Linked DNA regions of Styela clava. Each later gene encodes a partner of the first gene's protein in a complex. Links are inferred from orthologs where the notes say so. Each region holds a gene or a part of one and is shown in the gene's direction. Other genes may lie near its edges.

Region 1 (7,990 bases):
GCGGGCCGTACCTTTATTTAAGATAGAATTTCTAGTAGTTGTAGACTTTCAGGCATAACAAAATTGTTTCTTTTTGTTATTGATCAGCATTGGTGGGGGTCCTTGCAGAAATGGTTGAAACGCAAATATTTCTGAAGAAATTGCTATTCAAATTTATTGTCACACCGACTTTAAACGAATTCATTAAGAAACACATTTTATAACATTGTGTATTTTGCAGGATTTTGCTAGCTAGTTTTGAAATGCTAGTTTTGCTAATATGACAGTGGCACTCGGGTACTGGTATAGACTTTGCATCGGAAAAAGATTGGAATTGCTCGCAGGTACCAGATTAACTAAACTAAAAACTCGTTTCGCGGCACATTATTCAAAATTCGCACTTCTCAGTGGGACGCACAATTTTTCCCTGCGGGCAGCAGTTTGCAAACCCCTGGTCAAACACACACAAAAAAAAACAAGAACGGGTTTTCTGATTATCACATTCCAGCCCCTGAATCTCACCAATGCTTCTAACCATCAAGCATTGATATAATCGAAGTAAATATTTTCAACAATAAGACAATAAAATTGACTAAGAATTTTTCGGAAAGAAAACTTTTCTCCGCGACTAATCGATCTATCAATGTTGAATTTCTAGTACATTACTGTAAAGGACTGAAGCGGCTAGCTGGTCACTCAAATTTCACAAACAATTATTTTTTTTACCATTTATAGTTTTTTTTTTCTACCTGGCCCCCGAGCCATTTAAAACACTCAATAATATTTTAAGTATTTCTCAACCAGTGCGAACTTCTACTAATTTCATGAGGTCAAATTTAACCAATAATTCTATAGGGAGATTTATTTGTCAAGCTGATAGAAACTGTCGCAGCAAAACACAAGGCCAAGGTTGAAACATTAATACATGATGAACGAAATTTGCATTGTCAATGTTTCATCCTTGGCATTGAGAAATAGTAAGAGTTTCAATATTGAAAATCTCCTTGAAACGATTCTGCTTTTTTGTCTTCTACTCGTTGAACAGATCTGCGATATCTTTAGAAAAATAAAATGAAAAATCATTAACATATTATTGTTTCACACTTTTGCTAATAACTTGCAGTGCTACGATCGGTTAGCTCACCCAATTTTCTACAACCGTGAGTGATCGATAGGTTTGCTTGATAAATTTCCCACAACTGCGATATCAATATAATTATGCAAAATCGACAATAACCCGCCCAATCCAGTAAATACAATATGAATTGCAACATAATTGATCATTTTGATACTGATACTGACTTGATCAATGGCATAAATCCGATAGCACTGATCCGTTGGCCAATATAGCCAACACACGCACCATTTACCCATCATGACGGAAAATATGGAAGTAAATCAATTGGTTTTATATTTGACTTCTAACAAGTTTTTATGTTAATAATTTTTCAGCTTTTTCAATAGTCTTGAGTTAGGCGATAGTTCCCACATTTGGATAATTGCTAAATTTTAAAATGCCGCACTGAAGTTCATAACAGTGGTCGGCAAACTTTATTTACTACTGAGCCAAATATGCACATTGACGACAACAAGCAGACCATATTGATTTCCGCCGGTAAATAATTGCCAAATTGAACTTCATTTTATCACGCACCCTCAACTGCTATTTCTGTGTTAATTACAACTAACAGATCGACAAGTAAACGACTGAAATAAGATTTCGCTTACGCTTATTACTACAAAACAAAGCCGTACAACAGCCGTTTTACGACTTTTATTTGGCGCAGATAATGATATTGTGAGCAATTTTTCCTTTTGTGCATTAAAGTTGAGGTCGTTCGGGGCCACCTAAAAATTGTTTGCGGGCCGCATTTGGCCCGCGCATTGGCAGACCACTGTTATACAGTAACGACAACACGACAGTCAGATGTAATGAACGTCTTATAGAGACAGTGTTAACAGTGGCGCTAAAAGAATTTTACCCTCCGCAAGTTTTTGATCCAACTTTTTCGCGCGCTCAAGTATGGAATCAAACTGTTGTTGTTGCTCGGCGCTTGGTTCCTCATCTTTTTCTTCATCTCCTTTGAGGTAACAGCGTCGTCCTCGGAATTTACGCCTTCGTCCCCATGGCCAACCAGGCCTTGGATATCTTCTTCGAATTTTTCCTGGGCCCGGACTGGATGGAAACATAGTGAATTTGAAAAATATGCTTGATTGTGAATAAATTTTAAAGGAAAAAGGGACATCTCGAAGTATGTGCACCAAGATGGCGCACAACCTGAACATAATATGTGTACCAGGTTAGGGTTCGGGTTGTGCGCCATCTTGGTTCACATACTTCGGAAGCGCCAAAAAAAAATATACGTATTGCTTGTTATGGGTTCTAACAGTTTTCAGCCTAGTTACAACAAAATAGCAACTTCAAAATCGAAAATACAACAAAATCGTGTCAGCTAGATGCACAAATACTTTCATCACATAAAACGTTAAAACCTAATAAAGCCATAATACTAACCAACCTTCAAATTAATCAGTGGAAATAAAGAATTAGTCAGTGAATCATTGTTCCGTATTAAGACGCTTCAACTTAAATTTATCAAAGACAAAATTTATCGCGAACAAAAACAATTTTGTATTCAGTGAATTACTGTATTAAAATAGTGTCAATCAATAATTTAATTTGTATTATTATTTTCAAGAAAAACCAAACTTATTATTTGACGCTTACAGCTTCCGATTCCAAAATCAAACACAACCCAAGTAGAAGCAAAATCAAAAATGCCTTGTTCATCTTAAAAAATAAGATATAGAATTATCTTATTTGGATCAAAGATCTTTGATTCGGAGCACGTTGTAATCGTCAAAAGTTGAAGTTACACCGATAAAAATCATTCCAGAACACATTGACAATTATTTTGAAATCGAACTCCACGTGGAGGCTGTAAATTTTGAACTTTTTTCAATGTCTATGTTTACATGTTGTCTTTACTTTCAAATAGGAAAGTTACACAACGCATAAGTCTGCACGACGAAAACTCAATCCCAAAATCTAAGAAGCCGACTATTCCGAAAAAAAAAAATAAATATTGGAATGTTACTCAAAGGAAAAATTTATTATATTTCCTAGCTAACCTTGATTCAAACTGTTTGACACAGTTAGTCCACTGGATACACGATGAAATTCTGGATGAGCATCACAACCCTTGTTTATATTGATAATTCTCAATTGCGTCACTGCCGTGTCATTCGTTGCATTGTCTCTCATAAGGCAAAAATAGACGCATGAAGAAGATGGCTCACTCTCATTTTAATCATACATTTCCGGTTTAATATGCTGTTGCGGACATGAATGGATTTGGGTTCATGTAACGTCGCTAGAGTCACGGTCGAAAATTGTACTTCATTCCGATTTTTTTTTTGTTTGTAGGACTATCGAGAAGCATTTTGCTGTTTTAAATACGATAAGCGTATGATCGGAATGCTTGAAACAAACGACACGAGCGGGGCTAAAGACACTATCTGGGGTGGTAAAGTGCTGAGCTAATTTTTATATTTCTATGTGGCGTTTTATACCTTCTCTACAACCAAATCTTATTTTCAGTTATAAATAGGTTAATTGTCGGTGAATCTGTCATCATGTTTTACTACCGAAGCGAAAAGGGCAAATAAATAATTTGAATAAAAATGGTGAATTTAAAAAAAAAACTAAAATCAAATTTTAGATAAAAGAGTAAAATAAAAGCATGCTTGTTTGAAGAAATGACACTATTAGAAATTTGTTAAGTTGCCGAAAGACTTCCTCGAAATCGATTTCACAATCTACACCCTACACGGAGCAAAATTTTGTAAGCATTGCTACCCGCGTTGCTGATATCGCAGTCTGTGGTATTTTATTTACTACTATTCTTTCTGCTTTAATTAGGTCATGGGTCATTTGAAATAAGCCTAACATTCAGTTGCAAGATTTTTTTAGATTTCTAACATATGGTGCGATAATGTACAAGAATAGCCTTGGATGCTAATTCAACAACAAAATACATCTATAACAATCTCGATTCGTGCAATTTGTTGTGTGTAACAGATTATATTTTATCTTTTCGTTTTGTCTGTTGTCAGGTCAAAAGTTTACTACAATAAAACAAATATAATGCAAATATATATTATATAATAATATTTATCGATAAAAACAGTACCACTGTTACTAGGATTACTAAACGCTATGCTACCTTTTATAGGGGTTTTGTATACTATAATATTATTATTATATTATATAGTAAGACAAGAGAGCTACGCACAAATATATGGACACGTTAGACCAGAGCGAATCAGTCCTTACCGGTACCTTTGACGCTACCGGTACCCTCAAAAAAGTTCTGAATTTCCAGTAGCAAGAATTTTGCAGAATCAAAACGTACAGCCAGTCATGACACTGACTAAAATCCGTGTTCCCATGGATAAAAAATAATGCAGCAAAATTTTAGACGAAATATCAAATTTCATAGAATTCACGCAAAATTTTGAAATAAATAAAAGTAATAGCCTTCTAGCGAAAAAATTAATCTTTAACCACTGAAAATTTCAAAGCAATTGGTCCAGTATTCGAAGAGAAAAGCGACTTTTTAAAAACGTGTCAAAGAACAAGAACAACAACAACAACAACAACATAATATTGAAACGATCGTTATGTCCACTTCGTGTCCAACAAGCGAAACGCAACTATAAATAAATATCCGTTGTTAGTGATAATGGTTTTAAATTTTGCATGTGGATAAAATGAGGATACAAGCGACAATCCGATAACTTTTAGTGCATGATGCAAAATTTCAATTAACTCTTTCAATAGTCGCTACTCGTAAGATTGAAATTTGTTGCCAGACAATCCCAAGCTTTTTTTCCGCATTTCCGTTTTTTCACTGGAAATGCTTGAGCAAGATCAGAACCGAATTTTAATGTGGTGGCACGAACTGCAAACCATTGGCACCGTCTAAATGCCACTATATTGTGGCGGGAGCGTACTGCACTTTTGTAGTTCGTGCCATTTCAGCATTCCGAGTTCTAGAGATTGGATTTCTGTGAGGTTTCATAACTACAGAACTATAATATATTATTAGGTCTGTAGGTATTTCATTTAACGAGGACCGGGTGTGATGATGGAGAGGTGGGCTCCGTTTAAAGAGCTGTGGTCAACTGTTCAAGAAATCGTTCTCAGAAAAAGTGGATCGATTCATCATTTCAAAGCTCTTCTTCGACGCCACAGACCTGACTTCTTAAGCCTGCTTAAAAACCCTGTAAGCATCTGTTATTGGTATTTTGATCTCGAAGCTCTATAGACTAGTGGTTTCCAACCATGCTTCTTCTATTCAGTATGACACAGTTTCAGCAGTTGCAGTTTGCAGTTGTCCAATTTCAAGAATATCCCCCACATTCAGACATTATAAGACAATAACTATAAAAGTGAGTGCAAACCCTCCCTTGCGAAATGTTCTGGGCCTCCGTACAGTCGTACTGTATGGAATCAAACGGGCAAACTGGCATTGCATAATGAACCATCTGATCATTCAGCCATTGTTTACCTTGAAAAAAAAATCTAATTTATCACGGTTATTTGAATTACTATTACCAAGACAATCTTTCGCGATTTGACACATCTGTCATCGTGTCATACGGCCATGTTTCATAGACAAATAAAGCCTGTTTCATTGAACCAAATGTTGAGAAATCCTGGAATCGGAGAACAGTGCCATACTGCCAGTACAGCATTGCAGCCAGACAGTTTGGGGTTACCCAAGTTTACATTTGAATCCAAGAGTCCATATCTAGATATAATCACATGCATATGTAACGTTTATCTGAATGTTGTTCAAATATAATCAAATACACAGGTTTAATATGTGTGTTCCACTATTACGCTTATGCCTTTGAAGACAATCACATTAAACCGTTAATCTAAATTTTTTGATTTGCCTAGTCTAGTGTATGATGACATATATGCAAATGCACAGGAGTTCTTCAAGCTGTCATGGTTTTGCTCCACCAAAAAGGTTTAAAACCACTGTTTTTGACTATATTCCCTTAATCCAGGAGTCTGGAACCTTTTTGGTCAAGAGAGCCATAAAAGGTAGATATTTTCGATTGTATCTCTGTGCGAGTCATATAGCATTTCTTCACTTAATCAGGCCTGATTTTTACTCAAAAGTCAACACATACAATGTCATATACATTTATTGTGACTTCTGATGCTGCATGTTGACGCTGAGGGCCTTGAACGGCTGCTCACATGAGCACAAGTTAAAATCTATGATACTCATCACCCTTCTTTCGTTTAGGCATCTTCGTAGTATTTTAAAAACTAGCTTTGCTAGTCTGATCTAAATATGACAAATACTGTAACTGTAACTAGTACGTAAAAATGGACAAAAAGCTTTTTTCTATTGCTCCGAGACTACCGATTTGTGATGTCACAATATATGTTCCAGAATCACATAATTTGGTCACAATGCCTGTCTGGTAATTCTCTTACAAAACATAGACATGCGCTGGGCACGCGTTCTCAAACTTATTGGCAAATTTGTCTATAAAAGAGTTTGAAATCTCGTTACAATAGTAAGCTTAGCCTCAGAATATTAGATTTTTCTGGAAGCCATAAGCCGCCACCAAAAGAGCCATATATGGCTCGCGAGCCATGGGTTCCCGACCTCTGCCTTAATCCTTTCATACTGTAACAAGATATTATTCAGCCATCAGATATCTGGATATTGCAATGCTTCAATACTTGGATATGCTGTAGTAAAACTTCAATTGTAAGTAGGGTAGTCGCTAGACAAGCAAAAAATTGGAAGGTCAGATCAGATGAGATCTCAAATAAAATGCTTGCTTACTCCTTTCCTTTTTCGAAACGTTTTTATTTATTTTTGGTTATAGGTTGATATATTTTCTATTTGACTCAATTTGATTCTATATATACCTCAAAAAAGGTATTCTGTGCAAAATAAACAGCTGTTTGACAAATTTTCTGTTTTTCTAGCGACCACTCATAATATATTATCATAATATACTTCTATTTTTAACAGGTGAAAAATGCTGAGCATCGGACCAAAGTACAAAATGCAGTGAACGAAGGTTTGAGTCTCAAAGGAGAAAGTTCGCCGCAGACATTCTCTCAAGATTTTATAGATGAATCTCTTATTGTCAGTGATTTGTTCAATTTGAATGAGTTTTCTGCCGTTGAGTTATTATTGGAAGGTAAGGTTGTATAAATCAATGTATTTGTTAATAGCATTGCCTATATTTGTAAAACAAGGTACAAACATTTATTCTAATAGTCAACTTGTTGAGAAAACATTCAAGAAATTAACTATCTGTATTAATCGATGTTAGACGATTCGTTAGTCAACGATTCGTACGGTACTCACCATTAAAAACAGTAGTTTCCTAACTCTAAAATTTTAATTTTTCAAATTACCGTAGATATTTGAACCTTGGGTGTCGCTGCATGGTAACCAGCTTTGGTTCCCCGCGAGTTCCCTTCCCCAGTAAAAAAATCTATAATTCATTCGAAGTTTAAAACTGATAAAGGTTGGATTTAACCATTCAAATAGTTATTTGGTATTTTGGATTAAAATGGTAACCTTCGACCGATTACCCCTTTCTCTACGCCTCAGTGTTAGTAGATCCATATGCTCTACAAACGCTGCAAAGATATTGTTTTTAAAAAGTAAAATTCTTGTGGTTCAGAAGTCTTCACACTTACAAATATTATTCTGTTAAGTTCTGCCTAGCCCAACCAAAGTCAAACTTTTTCAGAAAAGCAATATCAAGAATATTCTCAATAAGTTGTACATTATTAGCATCTGTGTGCAAGGTAATGCCAGTGATAAGTTTACAGATGTAAATAAAGTGAACAACTTCAAGTGGAATGTACGCTGTGATAAATGTTTTGAACAATTCAATTTTATTCTGAATTTTGGATTACTATTTTTTCTAATTAACATAGGTGAGAGGCAACAACCTC
Region 2 (7,007 bases), on another chromosome or scaffold:
AGTACATCCGCGTAAAATTATTGGATAAAAAATACGTTGAACCAGAGCAAAATGGACATACTTTGTCATTAATTTTGGTAGTGTTTTTACCTAGAATTAATGGATAAAAAATATGTCAAATTAGAGCAAAATGGACGTTTGACCTTTGACCCCAAACATTATTTTCATACTTTGTCACTAATTTTGGGAGTGTTTGAGCAACTTTAGATACCGGTACTGTTCAGTACATTCGTGTAAAATTATTGTATGAAAAATACGCTGAATCAGAGCCGTACTTGGCCATTAGTGCGGAGGCGATCTTTTCGTCCATAACTATTCTCACGGGATTCCTATTTCCTATCATTCAACACGATATGGACCTTTCCCCGAGCATCGACTTCCTTGTTTACTTCGTGACATTGGCCAATCAGCAAGATGCAAAAAAGGACGTAACAATGAGAGGAATTTTTCGCGGGTCAAAGCCGTAGGCTTGCACGTAATTGACAAAAATCAATTCCGTAATTACGGCAAAATCAATTACGTAATGACCCCGTAATTGTGATATTTTTCCACGCATTTAAACCTATCATAACAACCAATTGAATCCACTTCTTTTCCGAATGGGACATTGAAGTTGGGTTTTCATATTCTTGGCAGTACTACACGCCATCGGCAGATGTTAAAGACAAATATCAAGGAGTGAATTCAAATTAATTTTATTCTGATTTTTATCTTTTGTGTTAGCTTTGATTTCCTTTATCACCTTCGCAAATTAACCGTCCCATTTTTATGCGATCAATTTTATTTTATCATTACCGACACTGGTATACGGTTATTTATGGAAACGATAGTTTTTTAAAACCACCTTAGTACTGAATAAAAATTAAGGGTTTCTAATTTATTAACCAACGACGAGCGTATTCACTCATTTGATTATACTTGCGATTTCCTCGCGACGAAGACTTGTTTTTGCAGCGTCTTCTGCATTATCCGACATTACTGCCTTGTTAGCATTTTATAATAATAATTATTGATGTCGACTTATTGACGATATTCCGATTACCATGCTTCATTTTACATTTAATCATTTCGCGGACTGAATGTTTAAAACATTATTTGCGATAAATTTAGATTAAATATTATTTATTTGAGTATAGTTTAAATATCGAACTTATATGATATGCCTTCTCCGAAAATACAAAAGTTATATCGCAAAACAATGCATTTTGTGACATTTATTTTACACTCACGACATTAATTTGCTAACTCAAGTCGGCGATCCTATCGGCCAAGATTGACACAAGTTTGGTCGAGTGCCTTGGTATTCAAGTAGACGATAAATCAAAATAAGTTGCCGCATTTGGTAAGACAGTTAATCATACATGGCCGAAATATTGAGAGGAATTGTGAAAAACATCATGCGCAAGACCAAGTCCGGACTGATATATAACGATAAAACCGTTAACAGAACATCAAGATTTTGTAATAGAAAATGGATCTCGCACAGAATAAACACACTGGCTCATATTTGATTATATATGATAGCAGTTAAATTTTTTTGCGGTCCGCGAGGAATCCGTCGTTTTGCTGTTTCTCTGCCGTCTCAATCGCTTTACCGATGCCGAGAAGACGAAGTTGCGTTGGTTCATTACGCAATCTCTCTTTTGTCGTCATATTGCTATTTGATAAGCGCGACATTAATTATCACGGCGAGGTATTGGCGCGAGTGATCAATCGCTCTTTTGGCTTATTTGGTTCCAATTCGTCGCGAAAGCTCTTCGTTAAATTTCACAAAATCGTCGTGTTGAAAGGTTATGGATATTTTCCTGTTTATACCCAAGTATGAAATAAAACAGCCAAAAACAGTATGATATTCCATGTTCATATATCAAGTGTTGATATTAACATTAAAGAATGGTTAAGCATTGCTAATCCACACTTGGTGGGGAATTCCCACTATTTAAACGCGTGACTATAAAATAAAATGAAATAGAAACGGAACATATATACCATAAGTAACGGAAAACTGGAACAAGTAAATAATAAATAAAAGTAAAATGGATACAAATGTTTGATAGACCATGTTTGAAAGATTGATCTCCTGCGTTCATTAGTCATTTCACCCGAAGAAGTTGAAACCGGGCGTGTTAGCGTCCATCGGTCTTAACACAATTCTTCCCCCTATCTACGGTTATTATGTACATTGGCCATGGCCATGCTAGATAAGATGCGAGAGAAGTTGAAACCAGGTGTGTTGGCGTCAATCGGTCTTAACGCAATTCTATCCCTTATCTACGGTTAAGTTACGGGAGAAGTTAAAACCAGGTGTGTTGGCGTCAAACGGTCTTAACGCAATTCTATCCCCTATCTACGGTTAAGTTACGGGAGAAGTTAAAACCAGGTGTGTTAGCGTCAATCGGTCTCAACGCAATTCTATCTTTTATCTACGGTTAAGTTACGGGAGAAGTTAAAACCAGGTGTGTTGGCGTCAAACGGCCCTACTCAGTTCTTCCCCCTTAACTACGTTAATAATTTACATTGGCCATGCCAGAGAAGTTGATAATAGGTTAGTGAATGGCAACGCGTCATGCCCTCCTTCACCTACGTAACAAGAGAGAGAAAAACGGCTGCGAATACCGGAACTCTAACTTCTACTTGTTGAGCTTTCATTTTTCGCAATCGACGAAATTGACTGCTTTGAAGAAAGCTCGTTTCAATGCAATAATTACGACTTTACGGAATTCGTAACTTCCCTTCCGTAACTCAAAATAATTACGTAATTCCGTAAATCCGTAAATTACGTGCAAGCCTAGTCAAAGGTTGGGGAAAGGTCCATGGTCTTTTTGCTTCGCAATATTTCGATCAGACCAAATCTTGCAGGCTGGTATTTGTCGACAATTGTGGAGTTATAATATTTTGGCATCTTTATATTACTGGATTATTGATTTTAAAACCATTTAAACCGATTTACATTGGTGAGCAATTGCAAATTTTCGGCGTGCAAAATTGATTTCGCTCGCGTGCATTTTTGCGGAGCGCTAGCGCCCTCGGGCGTGCACCTGCCATGGAATCCAGTCTGGGGGTACGGTAGGCCTACCTACTGCTGTACTGTGAAAATACTGCAATACTGGTACCGTACCTCTAGTCTCTCTTCTCTGCAAAATAGGATGCACCCACCACCTTCTTCTTTTGCATCTATTTTTTTTTTTATCCTTGCGTCTTTTCAGCCACAACAGTAATCCCAATTTTTGATGTTTGCTCAAAGCCATCGCCAAACCACAGAACAAAGCACCGGAACTCAACTCAAATCTCAGACAACGCAGCGCGTCAACGCAAAGGAATGTTTCCTCGAGAATTCGTTGCGTTGACGCAGTGCGCCAAAATGATGCGTTAACGCAACAACGCAAGTTTACTTAAACAATTAAAGAATAACGCACTGGTGTGAACAGATGTGAATGGGCCCTTACATTGTATTGTAAAAAACAATTTTGCAACGAACGCATAAACGGTAAAATAATAGTGTCAAACGTTTAAACAGCGCAGTTATGAATTTAGTATCTTGTAATTTATTATTCATAAAATTATCCCAGTTTTTCGGCTGATATAAGATTAACTAAACTTTGATTTTCTAAGTTCTGTAATCCCGCCCAAAATCAGGACAGACAACAGCTATACTCTGACTCCCACTACCGGTGAATCTACATGGCTGATTAAAAAAAATTTATTTGTCACAAGACACAATAACTAACAGGAATAAGGCAAAGCTCTGCGACGTGGACGCGTTCGGCAATATTTTGCTGTTTTGTGAGTAATATGTTTCAGTTTAGGATACATTTTTTATTTAGGCGTTATGTAGATGCAGGTTTTTTTGCTATAATATATATATTTAGATAGTTTACTTTGAATATTCCGGAGTACCGGTACCGTACACAACAAAGTTGGAGAATTCTTGCTTATTGTGCTTTTGTTGTTGTTCAACCTCTGTACCACTTACCGGTAGACTACCTGGCTACAGACTTATCGCAGAACCGAAACCGGTACCGTACCGGCACGTGCTATTAATTCCAATGTTTATTTAACTGCTGAGCTGTGTTTAAATTGTTGATATCATAGTAGACTAGCCTACAGTGCACTGATTTTCCAATGAAACACTTTTTGACATAAGTTACCGTAAGTCATTTCCAATATAAAGTTTTAGATTATAGTAATTAATATTCAACCTAAAATCATGTCTGGTGTTGAACTTGACGATATTTTACAACAAGCAGAACGACTGACAGCGGATCTTGATGGTGGTAACGAGTTACCAAGAGTCCAGCGTAACCTTCAACAAATTTTGGACGCTGGACAAAGACTCTGTTCTGGAACCCCAGCAACCCATGATAATGCAGAAGTCAGGGCTTCATTGCTTCTTAGTAGACGTGGGCATGAAATTCCGCAAATTTCTGATAGACTGAGGACGTTAACATCAGCTGCACAGACCTTAGAGCCATTGGAACCAGTATGTGATACTGATATTGAAGGCTTTCTTCGAAATGAACGAGAAAATGCTATACTTGCTGTTCTAGAAGAACAAAAAAGTAAGGCTTTTCAAGCTGTTGAAAAATATTATTGGCAATCTAGAATGAGTGAGTGGGAAAAACAAAAGCAGAGTATACTTGGGAAGCTTATTGGCAGCGATGGAACTTTGAATTTCACCCAAGAATTTTCTGAAGCTGGAAGAGTAGTTGATGACTACAATACTTCTCGTTCGGTTTCTCGGAGTGCTATGGATACTTGGGAAGTTGGTTATGCACAACAAGTTTACATCTATAATGAAAAAGTATTATCTGGATCGATTCGACCAAATTTCGTAGATTTGTGTCAAATAACGGCTGAAAAAATACGAGATGAAAATATTATTTCGCTATGGAATATGGTGAAATATGTCCTGAATGCTGAAATATCTGTAGCGGACAAATCTGTCCTTGCAAGAAGATTGTCAAAAAATGTAATCTCTTCTGTCGTTGGCCAAGCTCGAAGTTATTTAGAAGACATGTACAGAGATTACATGATGAAATGTGTGCATCAGCGCCCTCATGTGGCACAACTTGGTGGACGACCAGGCACTATCAATCTTGTTAAAAGTTTTTTGAAGGTAAAGCCTCCGCATCAAGTTCATGAATACAGAAATATCGATTGGGCGATTTTGTATTTTTGTCTTCGATGCGGAGATCTCGAAGCTGCTTGTGAAGTTGCGCAATCTTTGGATGGGACTTTCCCAGAGCTTTCAGGTTGGATTAACGAGTATGCTAAAGATCGTACTTTGTCTCCAACTTCTGAAAATAAATTATTATTACAATACAAAAGATCAATTCGAAATGCTGGAAATCCATATGCAATCGCTATATTTTGTATTCTCGGTCATTGCGATTTTATGGAGTCACATACAGAAATCGCTGGAACAACTGATGACTATTTATGGGTAAAGTTATGTCAAGTTGTCGTTGAAAAGTCCTCTTCAACGCAATCCGAAGTTTTGACCTTGCTAACGCTTCAAAAACTTCTCTCCGATTATGGAGAATCCCACTTCAACGCTACTTCAAACCCTCTACTGTATTTCCAAGTATTGTTTTTGACTTACCAATTTGAAGCAGCGATTGAATTTTTGTCTCGATTTCCGAGTTTACGATGCCATGCATTGCATGTAGCACTAGCGCTTCACGAAGCAAATCTATTGGTGAAAGCAACCAATCTACATGACGGGTTGATCAGTTCCAAGCCATCTGACCAATCTCAATTCACGAATGTACAACGACTAAATTTACCAAGATTGTTAATGATGTACACTCGGAAATTTGAGTTGACTGACCCAAGAGAGGCGTTAAATTACTTGTACTTTCTCAGAGATGAGAGACATGAAAATGAGAGTCTCTTCTTGCAATGTACGAGCGAGCTGATTCGTGAAACAGGCGAATTCTCGATGCTTTTAGGGGGTTTGAATCCTGATGGTAGCCGGCGCCCTGGATTAGTGGATAGATATTGTGCTGGTGACACAAAGGAATTGATTGCAAAAGTCGCTGCAGATACGGAAGCCAAAGGTCTCTTTGAAGATGCCATCCGATTGTATGACCTATGTGGAAATTATGATAATGTTATTACGCTTCTAAATAGGCTTATGTGTCCTCTACTACCGTCTGCCGACCGTGCCCATTCTGACCGAGTTCGTATCAAAGATCTTGCTGTTTCAATTGCTCAGAGATATCGCTCACTTGCCGTTGAGCTTTCACAGGATCTGAGTTCCACGTTTTACGTTCTGCTTGACCTCCTGACCTTTTTTGACCAGTATCACCTTCGTCGTTACGACACCGCAATGGATATTATAAATCAACTTCATATCTTGCCAACTAAGCCTGAGCAAGTTCAAGACAGGGTGAGAAATTTTTCTGCGTTTTCCGAGGAAGTTCGTCAAAACATTGGGGAAATTCTGCTAGCTACGATGAACATGTTAGCATCTCAGAAAAAGGCTCTGCAAAGCAATAAAATCTTAGAAGTTGGGGCGACACGTTCTTACGCAAGTGCTTTACTGACTTTTGCTGGAATGCTTCCATACCAGTTACCTGGAGATATCACATCAAAACTAGTGCAAATTGAGGTTGATATGATGTGAGAGGACATATTATAAGTACACTGAAATGTCCAAAATCGATTGAATATTCGAGACCATTCGAAATGGGTTGGCAAATGTATGACTTAAGAGGTATCAGAATATTTTCATTTGGATATTTGTCAATTTGGGTATTTGACATCTGACACTATCAATTTACCATGATTTCTGCAAATTTCTCTGCTGAATATGATATTCCACATTCAAAAATATTATCACAGAATGTATGGCTTTTATTAATTTTGGCCTGTAAGCATAAGGTATGTTGCTTGAATGCCAAACACTATCCATTTTGATCAACTTGGTACAATCACACTGATATCAAAATTTACATTGTAAACATTGACGCTTGGCAACAAATAAGTGCTAATGCTAGTCTGTG
Region 3 (7,933 bases), on another chromosome or scaffold:
TTAGGAAAAGTTTATTTCACACTGCCTTTAAATATGTATTTTGTATTTTTTTTTTCAGGAATTAGTGTAATGTTTTGAGTATAGTAATTTAGTAATAATAGAATGAAGCATTTGTTAATTAATGTTGCAGTTAAAAGAATCGCTTCAAACCCACACCATGTAATTCATTACAGACGGTTTTGGCAATCAAATAGATCTGGATACCACACAACTCAATTTGTCTCATCTTCACAATCAAACCCACCAGAGACATTGGATTATGCTGCTGATTATGGGAAGTATTATGAACCCACTACATGGGAATCTATCTATAGTTCCTTTGTTGACAGTGGTTTAGTCAAGATGGCGGAATCATACTTGACTACAGTACATGACTTAACTGGTCTTCCTTGGTGGGTCTCTATTGTTATTTGTACTCTGTCATTGAGACTGACAATCACAGCCCCTTTGTTTATATGGCAAATGCAGAAAAATTTGAAACATAAACTACTGGCTCCAGTTTTGCAACAAATTATAAAACAATTGAATGAAGAGGCGGTTGAAGCTGGTAAAGAACATAGATGGGACAAAAAAACTCGAGACATGCATGTTTTTAACAGCTTCCATAAAAGGAAAAAGGAATTGTATCAGAAGCATAAAGTTCCTGGTACTTTGAGAAGAAATTTAGTACCTTGGGTACAACTTCCAATATGGTTTGCTATGACTGCTTCACTCAGAAATATGACTCTATCTTTACCATTTACTACAAGTGTATCAGCTACACAAGTACAAACATATACTGAATTAAGTCAAGAAGGCGTTTTATGGTTCAATAACTTATGTCTTGCGGATCCATATTTTGTCTTGCCTGTTTTAATGGCATTTGCCAACCTTGCGACTATTGAAATACATAGGGGTGATGGTAAAACACCTTTAGAAGGTATATCCAAGTATTTGATAAATTTTTTGCGGGGCATTTCTGTGGTTATGATACCAGTAGCCATCTACATGCCATCAGGTGTGGTGTTTTATTGGTTTATTTCCAGTGGTTTTGGTGTCACACAAGCTTTGGTAATGCAATCCCCCAAATTTAAAAAATTGATGCGTATGCCAATGCCAGTAAATTATTCAAAAACGCCATATCAAGATATCTTGTCACGGTTCAAGTTTGTTAAGAGATAGCATATGTGAGATAGGAATCCTGTTATTTATTTTCTTCATGAAAATTGAAGGTAATGTTCCATGAAGTTGGTTGTATTTGAGAAACGGTAATTTAAAAACACGGAAAATATTTTTTGAATTAATTTCAGAAAATTCAATGGTTAAATTTATTTCGTTTTTGTAAACTAATTGTTATTAAGATGGCGTGCGAGAAAAAGTTTTTGAGATTTCAAAGAAGAGTTGAACGTTTGGCTGAAAAATACACAGAGAACCCCATTCACAAGTTTTATGCGCCGAGGTTGTCTGACTTGCCATGTCCTCCACCCACATGGTCGAAATATTTTCGATTGAAGGAGGCTTTTCGTCATGCTCACGCTAAGTCTGAAGAATTGAGGGTTTTTGCAGTTGAACCAAAATCTGACAATGTATCATCAGGAAAAAGAGAATTCATTGTGTCAAGTTACGAAGAATTCTGGTTCTATTATTCAAGAATGAAAAACAGCGACAAACATTTTTATGAAGTAATTGAAGAAAATGCCGCATGCCATCTGTACTTTGATTTGGAATATCATAAAAATTTTAATCAATCTATAAATGGTGGAGATTTAGTTGACGAAGTCATCAATTCTGTTTGCCAACAGTTATTTGAAGATTTCAAAATAAAGTGTGATAGAAAACATGTTCTTGAACTTGATTCATCGAATGATGTTAAATTTAGTCGTCATCTTATTTTTCACATTCCGAATGCAGTTTTTAGAAACAACTATGAAGTTGGGGGTTTTGTCCAAAACATATGCAATAACAGTGGAAATAAATTTACAGTACTAACATCAAACGGTGAAGCTGTGTCATTTATTGATCAAAGCGTATATACAAGAAATAGAAATTTCCGTTTGTTTCAGTCTACAAAAAAGGGTAAATCTACTGCCCTAAAGAAATCAGAAACTTGTAATTTCGATTTGTCTTTTGGAAACGTAAGAGCTGCTTGTTGTAGGCACCATGCTCAAGAAAAGGAAAATATTCCTCCAGTGAAACGATACAAATCGACAGAAAAGGACATCAATGAACTTGTGTTCTATGCTTCCCTAGTGTCGAACGTAAAATTCCATTCAAATATTAAAATTCTTTCAGTAGACATGCCTCCAAGAATAAAAAAAGAAAATGAATTAAACACGATACTTTCTAGCGATAATGTTCCTCATACTGATAGCTTTGAATCTCCATTTCCTTCGTTGAAAGATTTCATAAATTCTATTGTAAATTCAAATGATACAAAAGGCTGTGTTAACAAGTGGACCTTCTTTCCTTGTAGTAATACTATAATATACAATATTTCTGGAAATCGATTTTGTAATAATATTAATCGGCAACACAAAAGCAATCATATTTATTATGTTGCTGATCTAAATTCTAAAGTTTGTTACCAGAAATGCCTTGATCCTGTTTGTAGATCACAAGGATACCAATCTTCTCCGATACCTTTTCCTAAAGAAGTTTCAAACAATATTGTTGATATTGGTCTTGATGTAACTGATGAAGAATTGCTAGATTATGTTAACTTACTTGAAAAAGATACTAGTGATAATAATAAGAGTGAAAATTATTGTAAAATTTCAGAAAGTGAAAATGAGGATGATTGGGGAAATGTTACCGATGATGATTTATTGAACGCAATAGAGAACAAAACATAATCTGCTCAAGTCACGTTCTTTCTTGTACTATACTAATGTTTATAACTTTTTTAGAAGGCCAACTAATTTTTAAAATCTGTTTCACATATTTCCTACATGCAATGCTTTGGGCCTTAACTGTATTTCTAACTTACCTCAACTTATCCCTGGCTGAGAGGAAGTGCTTTATAATTCTGAAATTGGCTATAACCAACTCTTTTAATGTTCAAGTGTTTTGGGTGCATTATAAAAGTGTTTGTTTGTTCTATTTCTTCTTTTAAACATTTTTAGTTTTTCCATTTATGCTATAGATTGAATGTAATTGTGATAATGCTTATATGGATTCATTTTATTGAGATTTAAACTGATTTATTTGTGTGATCCTTATGGAAAAACCTTGGAATATTCACCACAAACAAGATGATGCTTTTACCGAAGCTGGAGACGATCCAAACATTCATATATTTGCAGTCGAACCTGTTATTTCACTTCAAAACAATCGCTCAGGAAGAAAATTCATTGCTTGCACTTACGAAAAATTCTGGTGGGAATATCAGAAAATGATGAAAAATAATTGGCCTCGACATTTTTATGAAGTAATACGTGAAAACAAACCGTGCCATCTTTATTTTGACCTCGAGTTTTTAAAAGAAAGTAATACTGAAGTTGATGCTAATAAAATTGTTGATGATCTGATCTGTTTTTCTTGCAACAAATTGGAGTCTGATTTTGGAATTGTATGTTCAGAATGGAATGTATTACGATTAGATTCGAGTACAAGTGAAAAATTTAGTCAACATTTGATCTTCAGAATACCAGGTATTGCATTCCGATCTAATTTTGAAGTCGGCGATTTTGTTGAAGAATTGTGTGAAAATCCTGAATTTCGACACAGACTAACGATACATTCAGGAGGGCAAGATAAACTCATTGTGGACAAAGCGGTCTATACAAAAAATCGTCACTTCCGATTGTTTCAGTCTTGCAAAAAAGGGAAAGAAGCTTTGTTACTGAGATCAGATCATTGTAAATTTGAATTCGACACTCTCCATGTTCCACTATCACAAGAAATGGCTCAGTCGAACAAAATTTTTGGGCCTGAATTATCTCAATGTGGCAACAATAAATCCATATTCTATGCTTCACTTATATGCAATGTTGATGATACAGATATTTATCTTATACCTTTTGAAATCAAAAAACGAACTCCTAATGTTCCAATCTCCAGTGGGCGTGTTCCATCTTTTACACATGATAGTTTTTACTCCGATTTTGATTGTCTAGAACTCAATGATTATGTTAAATCACTTATTCAAACGAACGATACTCCTGGTCATATTGGTAGTATAGAATACGATGCAGAGGAAAACACAGTAAAATATAGCATTAGGGGGAATCGATATTGTCGGAATATCGGTAGGCAACACAAAAGTAACAATGTTTATTATCTGGCATATCTTGATCAAAGAGTTATCATTCAGCGTTGTTATGACAGACAATCCTGTAGGGATTTCTTTTCTCTTCCCATAAGAATTCCAAAGAATGTTGTAAGATGTTTAGAGGAAGGAATGTATATCACCGATGTTCCAAACGAAGATCTTCTTGACCATATTGAAAACGAGATAAAACAGGAGAATAATGACTCTTGATACAGTGAAAAAAACTCTTAAAGACATTTATTCTGTGCTGATGATCATAAAATTTTATAGTACATAATGCTTGATACAAATCATTTAATACTTTTACTGTGATAGGAAGGTTACAACACTAATTTATGTGATCAACTAAGCCAAGGTTTTCAAAAATAAAGAGAGAATTTTATGCAGAAAGCAAAGTATGTATGGTATTGACAGCAAAGGAATGATGCTTTTCGTATTGATAAATGGTATTTGCATCATACCAAATTGAAAGTTGCTTTGAGAAGCGCTTCATGGATGAAGTTGAATTTTTGGATACTGTCCCTTTATAATTAGTCCTTTGAGTAAATGGAGTACCGTAACTTCAGATATTTTTTGTTGCGCTGAAATAATTGGCTGCTCCCTCTAAACTTTTTGCTGCTACAATTTTGCCTCGTGTGTTTGCAATATTTTTCATGTTTTTACTTTTCCACAATTTTCTGCAAATAGTCCATTTATATTTATTTTCAATTTAGTCTTCTCTAGTATTTATAAGACTGATATATATTGAACCCTGCTTGGTTCAATCTGCTAAATCATGAAAGAAGATGACAGGACATATTCCATGTAAGCACTCTGCCTTTTAATTTTTAGCATATTCACTATAATTTTGTTAATTACTAAATCCTTTACTTATGTTATTTCATATTTAATTTCAAATGCCAAGTTCTGCTAAAAACTAAAGGTTGTGATCCTACTGTATGTATACTCAACAAAAAGAATGTAGTATTTCAAAACTTAAACATTTCGAGAGAATACAATCAAATTATGTCATTTTCTTAGACCAGTGGTTCTCAAACTTTTTAAGCCGCGCCCCTTTTTTAAAATTCGTCAAGTCTCGCGCCCCACCTCCAAAATAACTACAGTAGCTAACAATAAGCAAATTACAAATACCAGATAGTAAGCCAAAAGTATGATTTATTCAAAAACACATTGAAAATACATAGATTGAACATAAATGTCCAAAATAAAAAATGTACACATCCACAATAAGATCGGCAGGATCATTATTTTTAATTAGCTTCACGCTCCCTCATAAAATTGTCTATGCCCCCCCCCCCCCCCCCCCCCACCCTTCATGAACCACTGTCCTAGACTCTTTGTTTAACCTGAATATCATGTACAGTTCTATGTATTGTAACTGCTTACACTGTTGATAATGTTACAAATACATGTCTCAAGTTGAGAATATATGATATTTTTCTAACTAATAGTAGCCTACTTTATTTGTTTCTCAGGCCATTTCAGGAATTATGGAGAATCACAGTTGGTAGATCGTGCATAAAAGATGCAGATCTTGTTGGAAATGAACTGAACAAGAATATTCAATGTCTTGAAAACTGTTTGAAGTACTATAAGACAAACGGGTTTGTTGATGCAATTTCTTTTAGTATATTTTAAGTTAAAATTTGAGGATGTGTATAATAATTATATTCATATTTATACAGCGAAGAATCAAAGAAAAAATTGAAGAATAACAAAAGCATCTCATCCAACCTGCAGACATTTTGTTTGAAGCTAGCAGAGTTTCTGGTATCATTTTTGTAATGTACTTTTTTTTTTGTTCTTATTCAAAGAAAGCATAAAAATGTTAAATACATGTAGAAAAAGATCAGAATATTTTGTTGCGTTCGGCGTCGTCTACCCTATTTCTTTCTTTCCTGAAAGAGTTTAAATCTTCACATCAAGTCTGATTTAGAAAGTATACAATTCTTAAAATATTTTCATTCTTGTTTGATATTATTTTATTCTGAATATCCAAACTTTTAGAACCTTGATTCTGTTCAAACGCTGAATTTGATATCTCAATATTCATTTTGTGATTTTCACGGATCAAAAGAAAAATTCAACGAACTTTTAGAAGATGACAGAAGTCATTTTGCATTGATCGGAAAAATAACCGAATATTTCTTTAGTGAAAGGTAAAATCTTTTGAACAAATTTGTGTCTAAGAAAACTACATTTTCCAATCCATTTTTTGTATGAATGTCAGAACTATAATATGTTTGAAATTGAATATTGATCACAAGATAAGATTTCCTATTTATTCCGAACATCATAGAAATCCTTCAGCAGTGCAGCATATATGGAGACCCTAATACAACTGGCATTTTCGGTGATAATCTGAACCTATCATAGGTTATTATGAACTGCGTTGCATAGAAGTTGCGCAATGCTTTTTCATCCATCTTTCACAGAATTTTAATATAAATGCGCTCTATTTATTCTTAATTAAGATTCGATGCCAAGTTAAGAATACTAGAAAAGTGGTCTATTGGGATGTGGATTTTTTTATTGTTTGTTATTAAATTAGAGATCGAATTTTTTCCTATCAAATAAAAAGTCTTTTCTTTTGATTCTAAATATTTTATTATGTTCAGGTTACATTTACTGCGAATCATAAAGCATGTACTCAGCTATTTTGAAGATAAATCTCATGATTTTCAGGTATAGAATTTTACCATTGTAATCTCAAGTATAGGTTTTGCAATTCCTAATCATCAATGTATATTTTGGGTTTTGAGATGTTCAGAGATGATATAATGAATGTCTGCCAAGATATAAACTATTATTTGCTTTGTCAGGATGGAAATATGGGAATATTTGTGATTTGAAAATTTATTTTCCAAGTCCAACGTTCATCATTCACCACATAATTCATTTGAACAAGAAACCTATTCTAAACTGCTTTATTACTCTCTTCAAATTTCCAACTGCCGCTGTGAATATTGAATAGATAGGCTACTTACATGTATGGAACGATTACAATTAGGTTAATAGAAGCTCTTCGTAAAATTTAGCTTGCCCCACTGTCCTGGTCTGCCTAACTTCCTGTGATACCAATGATCCAAATTCAACGCAGCTGCCAAACCAGTCTGAATTGAAAATGAATTGAAAATCTTGCAATATTATAGCATTAAACATTGAAATTGGTTGCCTCAAATTTACTAACACTCCTGAGTTAACTAGATAATGAAGTTTGGGTTTATCCAAGATATCTAGCTTTATGTGTTATATTATAAATGGACATTATGAAAACTATGATGCAGCAAGCTTTTTAATTCTGGTTGGAAAATTTATCCTACTGCCGACTAATATAATGTGTATAATTCTGACTCGAGAATTTAAAATGAAATAATATAAGTTTTAAAACTCTTCTACAACTACATACATAACTTGCTTGAATTATTTTTCTTTTACAGCAAGAATATGCAGAAATTGTCAACAATTTAAAATCAGATCTCAGTAAAAATATTTTTTCTCAATATAAAGAACAATTTTCATCTGATCCTCCTTCATCTAAATCAAGGGGTTCTAGTTTCACACATCAGGTAAATGATTCTTCCTTATTATTCAACTATATAAAGCACAAGAGAGACTCATTTTTGTAAGCCTGGCCTACCATCTAGCAATATAAAGAATTACAGGCCTCCCGAAGTATGCGAG
Region 4 (7,745 bases), on another chromosome or scaffold:
GTACTAAACCATATTTTACATTGTAACCAGTGCAATTCTTGCTTTCTTGATCCGTACCTGAGCGAGTTAAAATAATAAGCGACCCCGTATGACCATGGGATATGATTCACTTATTTATCCCTTAGGAAAGACGATAAGACGGCTCAGTCATATGACGAACCATGTCATCTCGACCGGTTACCAATCCATTTCGGGTATGGGATTAGATAGCCAGTTGTTGGTTTAAAATGGACTTGACCATAAAAAGCTATCGCTATTTTAAATATTTCATATTATAAAGACTCCGATTTAGGGTCATAAAATGCTTTTAGCGATCATAATGAAGACTGGCAGAGCCTGCACGACCCTGATGTGAAGTTTTTTGGTATATTTTAACGTTAAGTTAAGAGACGCCCCTTTGTACGGAAAAATAAGATAGTCGAAATGCTTGGAAAACCTTCAAAGTTCAAATTGTTTCACTGTATCGTTTGTAGATAATTTTCCTGTGTTTTGAACCTCGTACTTGATTTTTATTTATCATTCTGTTTACGTCTGTTTATTTTAAAGTTTCATTTATATTACATATTGCAATGTTTTATTTATTTTATATTAAAAATTCAAAGAAAAATATTTTCATGTCTGTCATACGATTTTCGCCGCGTTACTCGACGTGGCGGTAGACGTTTAATTTTTTAGAAGATTCATGGGATAGGGCAGGACTACCCAAATTTTTTCATCGAAGATCCCTACATAGAGCTTTAAAATTTCTGGGGCCCAGTCAATTGGTCGGTAGTTTATCTTTTCACATATGCCGAAAAAATGCATTTCAGTGTGAAGGGAGTAGAGTTATGATGAAAAAAGTCATACATAGAATATTAACAAAAGCAGGACTTTGAGGTACATTTGGGCGTCCCGGTGTCAGGTGTCACTCTCGCCAATGGAAGAAAACGACTTCAGTCATGACAGGCGGAGTAACAAGGGTCATTCCAGACAATATATTTCACTTTGCAAACAAAACTTAAATGCATAGTTTAATCACAGGGCTTCAAGCACTAAACATTTTAAATGTACGAGTCGCGCAGAAAAGCGATTTATTGCAAACAACAGTAAGAAAAATTCTAACGAACACATCAATTTTAAGTTGCCAATTGAGTAGCTCCCCGAGGTAGGTATTGATGTTTATCGCGAAGAGATGAAAGTCTATATTGGAAATATTGATTTGACACTAGAAACGCGATTAGGTGCCGAATATCCCTGCTGAAGAAATAATGAGCTTTTTGTCATTAGAAGGTGCAGGGGCGTAGCCAGCAATTTTCAAGGGGGGGTCATGCACTCGACAAGCAACTCACAAATAATTAAGCAAAAACACAATCCTAGGTATGAAATGCGCGTGCTCGAAATCAGCAAATTGGCAATCCATTGCTATATTTGCCCTGAACTAGTAAAAGATCAATAAAACGTCATTCGCTGTAGTATAGGGTTGCCAACTAAGAAAAGTTTCGATAAAGGACATAGATTACCGTCATCATTTATTTTGTATCTTGCAGGAAAGAACAATATAAAACAATTGAATAAAAACGATATATAAGCTGAAAAGATATATTAAAACAAATTTTATGTGTTTTTTTATTTTATGTTTATTTAACAATGACCCAAACAATGTTAATAAAATTGGACAGTTAGCATCTTTTCTAAATGCTAAAAAAGGCAAGGACCAAAAATCTTAATTAAAAGATTGTCCTTTGAAATGAAGGACGGTTGGCAACCCTACTGTAGTATTAGGTATGGGCGCGGCGGTGTGGCTCAACGGGCTAAGCGTTAGGAATACGCTCGCCACCGCACCTCTAATTACTCTGCATGGGTTCGCAGGTTCGAATCCCATGCAGGGATGATTATGTGCGAGAGGATTGCTGGACTCCTCGCCGTCGTTGGGTGGTTCACGTAACCGCTGGTCGGTTACGGCTTCCTCCACCACCAAGTCCATGCTTCCGAAAACAAACAATTTAACTAATCCCATACCCGACTCGGAATGGTAACCGGACGAGAGGTCGTGGTTCGCCATATGGATAAGCGAGAGAGGGAGAGTTTATTTCATTTTCATTTTGTCAAATCAAGAAAACAATTTATGGACACATAAACAATTATCAAAAAAATAGTTTTCGGTATATGACTGAGGGGCAACGATACGACCTTTGGGGGTCATCAGTAAGCCGTCTTATCGGCTTTCCTTTCCCCCGGGATAAATATGTAAATTCTATCCTATCCTATCCTAGGTCGTTCAACGGCCACCGCAATGCCAGCGAAATCGTTTTATTCATTTTCTTTCTTTGGCACATGGAATCCTATGCATTTGTGATGTATTAGCGCCATCTTTTGGCACATTGATTCCGTTGGCGCGCATATCATACTGTTGTGCTTCAGTTTTTCCTTTGGCTTACATATTACGGCTTCCTCAATTTAGTAATTACCGTATATATTCGAGTTGAAAAGTGTAAAATAGAATTGTATAACTTCAATTACACTTTATTTTTGCCGAAAATTCATATTCCTTTTTATATTCGTTTGACAATATTTTTAACAGGACGTCTATACAGCCGTCTTCAGTCATTTATCCATTCTGCGATTTGGCAAACCCAATTTCTACAGGGGTGGTGATTCCTCTACGGCCCATGGGCCGGGGCCACGGCCCATCTAATTGGGCCACATGGGCCGTGGCCCCATCAAGAAAAGTTCAATTATCTTACCAAAATTTTCAATTTTCACAAAATTGTAAATATTCGAACCAAAAAAAAATCGTTGGATGCCACCAATTTTTTTTCTTACGATAAGCCTTCATATAAAAATAAAGCAAAATACCAGGCTACAGAAAAGGATACTCCTGTAGTCTGTGTACCAGGTTAGGGTTAGGACAAAATTTTGTTCAGATTTTCCACATTATAGTTCTATTATGAGTTTGGGGACTTCTGTGTTAGCCAAGTGAATAGTCCCTTTGCACAACTTGATGGGCCGCGGCCCATAGCCTGATGGGCCGAGGCCCAATTCGATGGGCCGTGGCCCCGGCCCATGGGCCGTAGAGGAATCACCACTTCCACTCCCCAATTTTGTGCTGGCTAGATATGTAGATATAGGCCTATGCAGATAGTGATTTTAATATCAGATTTGAGACCTTTTTCAGCATTTCCACCAGTAATATAAATATACCAGAGATCAAACTGTCAAAAGAGTTGCAGAAAAATAAATGCGTTTATCATGCAATAAAAAACCTGAGTTTGTGTCACATATTTTTATGTCTTGCGAGTTTACCCAGAAAATTTATGATTTTGTTTACTTTATTATTGAAATTAATTAGAATACATTTTGTTTGCAATAAATTATGATTCTTGTATATTATTGAATTTTCCTGAACCTTTATATTTAGTCATATAGCCTAACAACTGTAGATTTGAATGTAATTTTACTTTTATTATCAATAGTGCGATATAATGTTTGGATTATGAGAAATTTTATCATATTTGAAAATAAACACCAGATATTGCTCGGGTCTGGTATAGTTTAGTACCACACGCACTTCTAGTTGGCCTGGCTTAACAATTTTTGCATAAGTCAATTCTAACCCTCACCTGACTATATCACCGAAAAATTAGGTCATTTCGAAGTCACAGTGGCGTAATAAGGCCCACCAAAGTATGCGGATAGTCGTCCGAAACGCGTAGACAATCACCCGAAATTGAGCAAGCTATTTCTCTCGTTCTCTCGCCACAACGATCCCAATAAGAGAGAGATCGCGGGCGTTTGCGAGATTGGCGGCGCAGATGCCATTTCGGGCAATCGTAATTATACTTCAGCAAGCCCTATGACGTGATGGTGACGTCGTAGTGACATAATTTTTGGATGGCATAGTCAGGTGGGGGTTAGGAATAACATATGCAAAATTCGTTATGCTACGCCCTCCGGAAGTACTTGTGGTACTAAACTATACTAGACCCTATTGCTCTCCTTACTTCCTTAAAAAGAAGATAAAAATGGCCCTAGTGTAGAGAAAAAATATGTAGTAGACAAGACAAACCCTTTGAATGGAATTACGAAATTTATGTGCAATAATATTAAGCAATAATTTGAATAATAAGTAGGTTTATAATATCGTAAGTTTTTTGCATAATTTGCTAATTTTAACTGAATAAGTATAAATAAAAAAGGCCTCAGATTTGAAATATTGGATTTCTGCCATATTGCCTAACTTCCGGTCTTATGCTTTTCCTCTACCGTTTCAAAATTAAATTATTTTTTCTCGAGGAATCCAATGGTGACGGCTTCCTTCTAGTTTATTACGCGGTGCCAGTTTGCCACGTTGAGTCGATATGCAGGCCCTGACTGTTTCATAAAGAAGGGGTTCACTCTCACTGTTATAATTGCAGAAAGAAATGAGGTCTTCCAATGACAATATGGGGGCTATTCTTGGAATTGTAGAAATGTGCCCTAAATCCAATGCTTTAAGCACACTGCATAAGTCAATCTTCCAGTTGTCTGTACAAGTCTACAGACAGACAGAGGAATAAATGTTATTAAATCCCATCTTAACATTTCAGTCTTGTGCAAATTCTCAGTTAAAAACCAAAATATTTCAGTATTTGTAGTGATTTTAATATCAGATTTAAAAAATAGATTGCTGCCGTATAATTGTTAGCTCGTGGTTTTTCACTACCATTTCTGATTGGTATAAATAAATGTTGAAATATGAAATCCTATTTTACAGTATTATTTTAATTTACATTATGGTTCTTTATATATTTTCAGTTGAAACACTAAAACAATTTTTTGATATTACTATATTGGATTTGGCAATCATAGAAAAACAAGATGGCTGACAATGAGGAATTTGTCAATGAGATGAACATAAACGACAAACTTTTTGATCCGTGTGGGATTTTAAGTAGCTGGGGGGTCGGAAATCAAATGATGGTCGCAGCTGGGGGTGACGTGGGGTCAGAACGACCCAATCAACTTGCTCATTTGCCAATTCTTATACACGAGGTACGCTGGAGTAATGAAATGCATTTAGACATTACTCGGAAGCTTTTGAACGAATCACATCGAATTTTTATCGAAGTGCAAGAAGCGAGAAATGACTTTCAAAAAAGTAGTCAAGGTCAACAGTTACTTGTGAAATTCAGTCGGAAATATCGTTCTGTTTTGCGAGCTTGCGTTCTCGAAATAAAATCTAAAATTGAGGAAAGTATAATGGAGGACGTTCAATTGGTCATGCAATTAGAACTGCTGAGTATGATGGAAATAATCTGGAATTTATGCGAAATACTTTTCATCGAAAATTCCCCGGCGGGAGTTGTATTGTCTCGTCTTGCGGAATGGTGCAAGTTTCATTTCACCCAAGCGGATGATTTTATGGAAGAATGCATTCAAACGGAACAACCATATAATCATGAATTGTACTGGAGCACCATCAAGTGTCTCGTCCTTCAAGGTCGAACGGACGACGCCCAAAACATGTTGAAACTTCACCCAGAGTGCCAGAGTCAAAAAGATAACGCATTTTTAAGTATGGAAGAGTTGCTGCGAAAAATGCCACATTTTACGTACTATCGCGGACAATCAGTCGTCGAATTCGAGATGAAATGGAACCACTGGCAAGAGGAGTGTCGTCGTAGGTTTGACGAAGGAGAGTTTAATGTTAACAAGGAATTACAAGAAATTGCGATGATTTTATGCGGAGAAGACGCTGTTTTTGAGAATCCCGATTATGGCGGATGGCATCAAATGTTGATATCGAGACTACTTTTCACACAACCGACCGTCAGCGTCATGGAGTTACAGCATCATAGTAAAATATCTGTTGAATCGTGCGGTGGACATGAACACCTCGGAGCTTTTGATCATATTTTACTTGCGGCCTTCGAACTCGATCCGTATTCTGTTATTAAAGAATGCAGTCAGCAGTTGAGTAACTGGTGGTTGGCTGCTCATTTATCCGACATTTTTTACCATCTTGGGATTCTGTCGCAAAAGAAATTAGAGTTTGGGGTCGATTTTCATGAACTTTTGATTCTGGAGTACGCAACGAGTCTCATGTCACATGAAAGTCTATGGAGAGTTACGATTGATTATTTGTCAGCATGCTCGGAGAACGAGAATAACTATCTCTCTCTATTTGTGCGAAAAATTCCAATTACAAGCGAGAAAAAAGCTTCAAAATTGTTACGTATTTGCCAAAATCGAGGATTGCTTGCAGAAGCACAAAGTATCTGTCGACAAATGAGTGTATCAGCGCTACAGCGAAATCGTTTGGGCGCTGCTTTATCGTGGTGTTTAAAATGCAATGATTCAGCCTTAACGATGCGAATTGCAGAAAAAATGTTGTCGGAATACGCTCGAACTGGTGAATTCACTCATATCGATTTGCTGGATTATTTAGGACCTTCAATTCTGTTATCAGATCGATTGACGTTTTTAGGAAAATATCGGGATTTTCACAAACTTTACGCCGAAGGCATGCACAAGGAATCTGGGAATCTACTTCTCAACCTACTCATCTCAAATATAGCGCCTGTTGAGTTTTGGCCGTCGCTACTCATTGACTGTCTCCCTCTTCTTGAGTGTGAGGAGATCGTGTTCAACGCTTCAGACTCTGCCAAGTTACTCGCTAAATCAAACACTCTCGACCAAATCAATTTAGACTCAGAATTATCGGACTCTGAGAAAGAAACTCGACAAAAACGACTGGAATTACTTAAACTAAATATGTCAAGGAATTTAGCCAGAGCTATTGTCAATGCGGGGTAAAGAATGTTCAAACCAGGGATGGACAAAGTCGGATTATCTGCTAAAAATATTTAAATAACGAATGTTTTTAAAGTGAGTCGTGTTTAGCAAAGACATTTCGATGAGTTTAATTTGAAAATGCAGGAAAGATTAATGCAGTAATTTTAACTGTTTTCTATTTCCGCATTCCAGGAATAAAACGATGATGCTCCAAATTGTTCAAAATTATAATTTTCCAGAATAAAATATTCTGTTTCACCATCTTTGCTACCAGTGAAATGTTTTTCTCTCATTTTACCATATCTTTCTAATTGAAGAGGGTCAATTGGAACTACCGGTAAGATCTGAAGCCCGATCCGAAATTCGGGTCAGGTCAGGCCTGAAATGTTGATCATTACGTTCGGGTCGGGCTTCTCTATCGCTGACTTTTTTTTGAAATAAATATATGTTTATAAAAAATATATACTAAAACTATGTGTGGAATTCGAAGAACTCCTAAATAAAATATGAAATTTTTGGTTCGATTCGATCTCTGCCTGCAAATCCAGTTAATCAGTCGGGCTCCGGTCAGGTCGGGTTTTATACCCACGGGCCCAGGTGGTATCAGTGGCTCCTTTCCAGGCCCTGTTCATGGTAAAACATTCCATGAAAATTAGTTTCAACTTATTTTTGTGCTTGATTAATCTTTGCAATGTGCTGCCTGTTTTTTGAGAATTGGTAATTCTTTGCTCAATATAATGCTTTGTACTGAATTGTTTCCGTGTTTTGCATGTATGGATGGGGTTGTTCTGGTTTACCCTTGTTCTAAGTTTTTCATCTTATGCAAGATGTACTGTAAAAAGTGGGGCAGAGGAATAACGGACTGGATTGTGACTAGTTATAAGCATTTTTGTGAAATAATGTTGGTTTATTGTGCAAGATAGAAGTCAATGTGGCTCATTAGGACAGCGGAAACACGAGTGGAACGATTTTGTTACTACTCCCAAAATCTA

Evidence for each region.
Region 2: nuclear pore complex protein Nup205-like (region 1) and nuclear pore complex protein Nup93-like share a complex: the UniProt entries of both Homo sapiens proteins name them as parts of the nuclear pore complex. The link is inferred for Styela clava from reciprocal best matches to the Homo sapiens genes NUP205 and NUP93.
Region 3: nuclear pore complex protein Nup205-like (region 1) and nucleoporin NUP188-like share a complex: the UniProt entries of both Homo sapiens proteins name them as parts of the nuclear pore complex. The link is inferred for Styela clava from reciprocal best matches to the Homo sapiens genes NUP205 and NUP188.
Region 4: the proteins of nuclear pore complex protein Nup205-like (region 1) and nuclear pore complex protein Nup85-like are in contact, whole or in part, in a cryo-EM structure (PDB 7TDZ), measured with the Xenopus laevis proteins. The link is inferred for Styela clava from reciprocal best matches to the Homo sapiens genes NUP205 and NUP85. Residues at the interface, in XP_041443600.1 of Xenopus laevis: Glu1477, Cys1480, Arg1481, Cys1484, Asp1485, Ser1517, Gly1518, Tyr1519, Leu1520, Lys1521, Val1522, Val1524, Asp1525, Ser1574, Gly1575, Gln1582, Gln1638, Gly1641, Gln1642, Gln1645, Val1648, Leu1690, Asp1691, Ile1692, Gly1693, Leu1694, Asn1695, Asp1696, Gly1697, Ser1698; in XP_041431608.1 of Xenopus laevis: Ala86, Glu87, Glu88, Ala89, Ser90, Gly91, Lys92, Ser93, Arg94, Lys95, Pro156, Pro239, Met240, Gly245, Thr246, Gln247, Thr248, Leu249, Thr250, Glu251, Phe252, Glu253, Leu254, Lys255, Trp256, Gln257, His258, Trp259, Pro315.

What each region holds. Positions count from the first base shown.
Region 1 is NC_135252.1:18,333,813-18,341,802, forward strand, and holds the start of nuclear pore complex protein Nup205-like, read left to right. Parts: upstream 1-4,987; 5' UTR 4,988-5,126; coding exon 5,127-5,267; intron 5,268-7,049; coding exon 7,050-7,221; intron 7,222-7,972; coding exon 7,973-7,990. UniProt on the Homo sapiens protein: Plays a role in the nuclear pore complex (NPC) assembly and/or maintenance. May anchor NUP62 and other nucleoporins, but not NUP153 and TPR, to the NPC.
Region 2 is NC_135264.1:9,869,979-9,876,985, forward strand, and holds the start of nuclear pore complex protein Nup93-like, read left to right. Parts: upstream 1-3,993; 5' UTR 3,994-4,207; coding exon 4,208-6,628; 3' UTR 6,629-7,007. UniProt on the Homo sapiens protein: Plays a role in the nuclear pore complex (NPC) assembly and/or maintenance. May anchor nucleoporins, but not NUP153 and TPR, to the NPC. During renal development, regulates podocyte migration and proliferation through SMAD4 signaling.
Region 3 is NC_135260.1:11,105,835-11,113,767, reverse strand, and holds the start of nucleoporin NUP188-like, read left to right. Parts: upstream 1-4,927; 5' UTR 4,928-5,024; coding exon 5,025-5,053; intron 5,054-5,724; coding exon 5,725-5,853; intron 5,854-5,934; coding exon 5,935-6,019; intron 6,020-6,256; coding exon 6,257-6,408; intron 6,409-6,867; coding exon 6,868-6,934; intron 6,935-7,689; coding exon 7,690-7,818; intron 7,819-7,933. Other genes in the region: cytochrome c oxidase assembly protein COX18, mitochondrial-like, read left to right, coding at 103-1,161; DNA-directed primase/polymerase protein-like, read left to right, coding at 1,341-2,831; DNA-directed primase/polymerase protein-like, read left to right, coding at 3,197-4,459. UniProt on the Homo sapiens protein: Component of the nuclear pore complex (NPC), a complex required for the trafficking across the nuclear envelope. Required for proper protein transport into the nucleus.
Region 4 is NC_135263.1:560,607-568,351, reverse strand, and holds nuclear pore complex protein Nup85-like, read left to right. Parts: upstream 1-4,742; 5' UTR 4,743-4,836; coding exon 4,837-6,774; 3' UTR 6,775-7,505; downstream 7,506-7,745. UniProt on the Homo sapiens protein: Essential component of the nuclear pore complex (NPC) that seems to be required for NPC assembly and maintenance. As part of the NPC Nup107-160 subcomplex plays a role in RNA export and in tethering NUP96/Nup98 and NUP153 to the nucleus.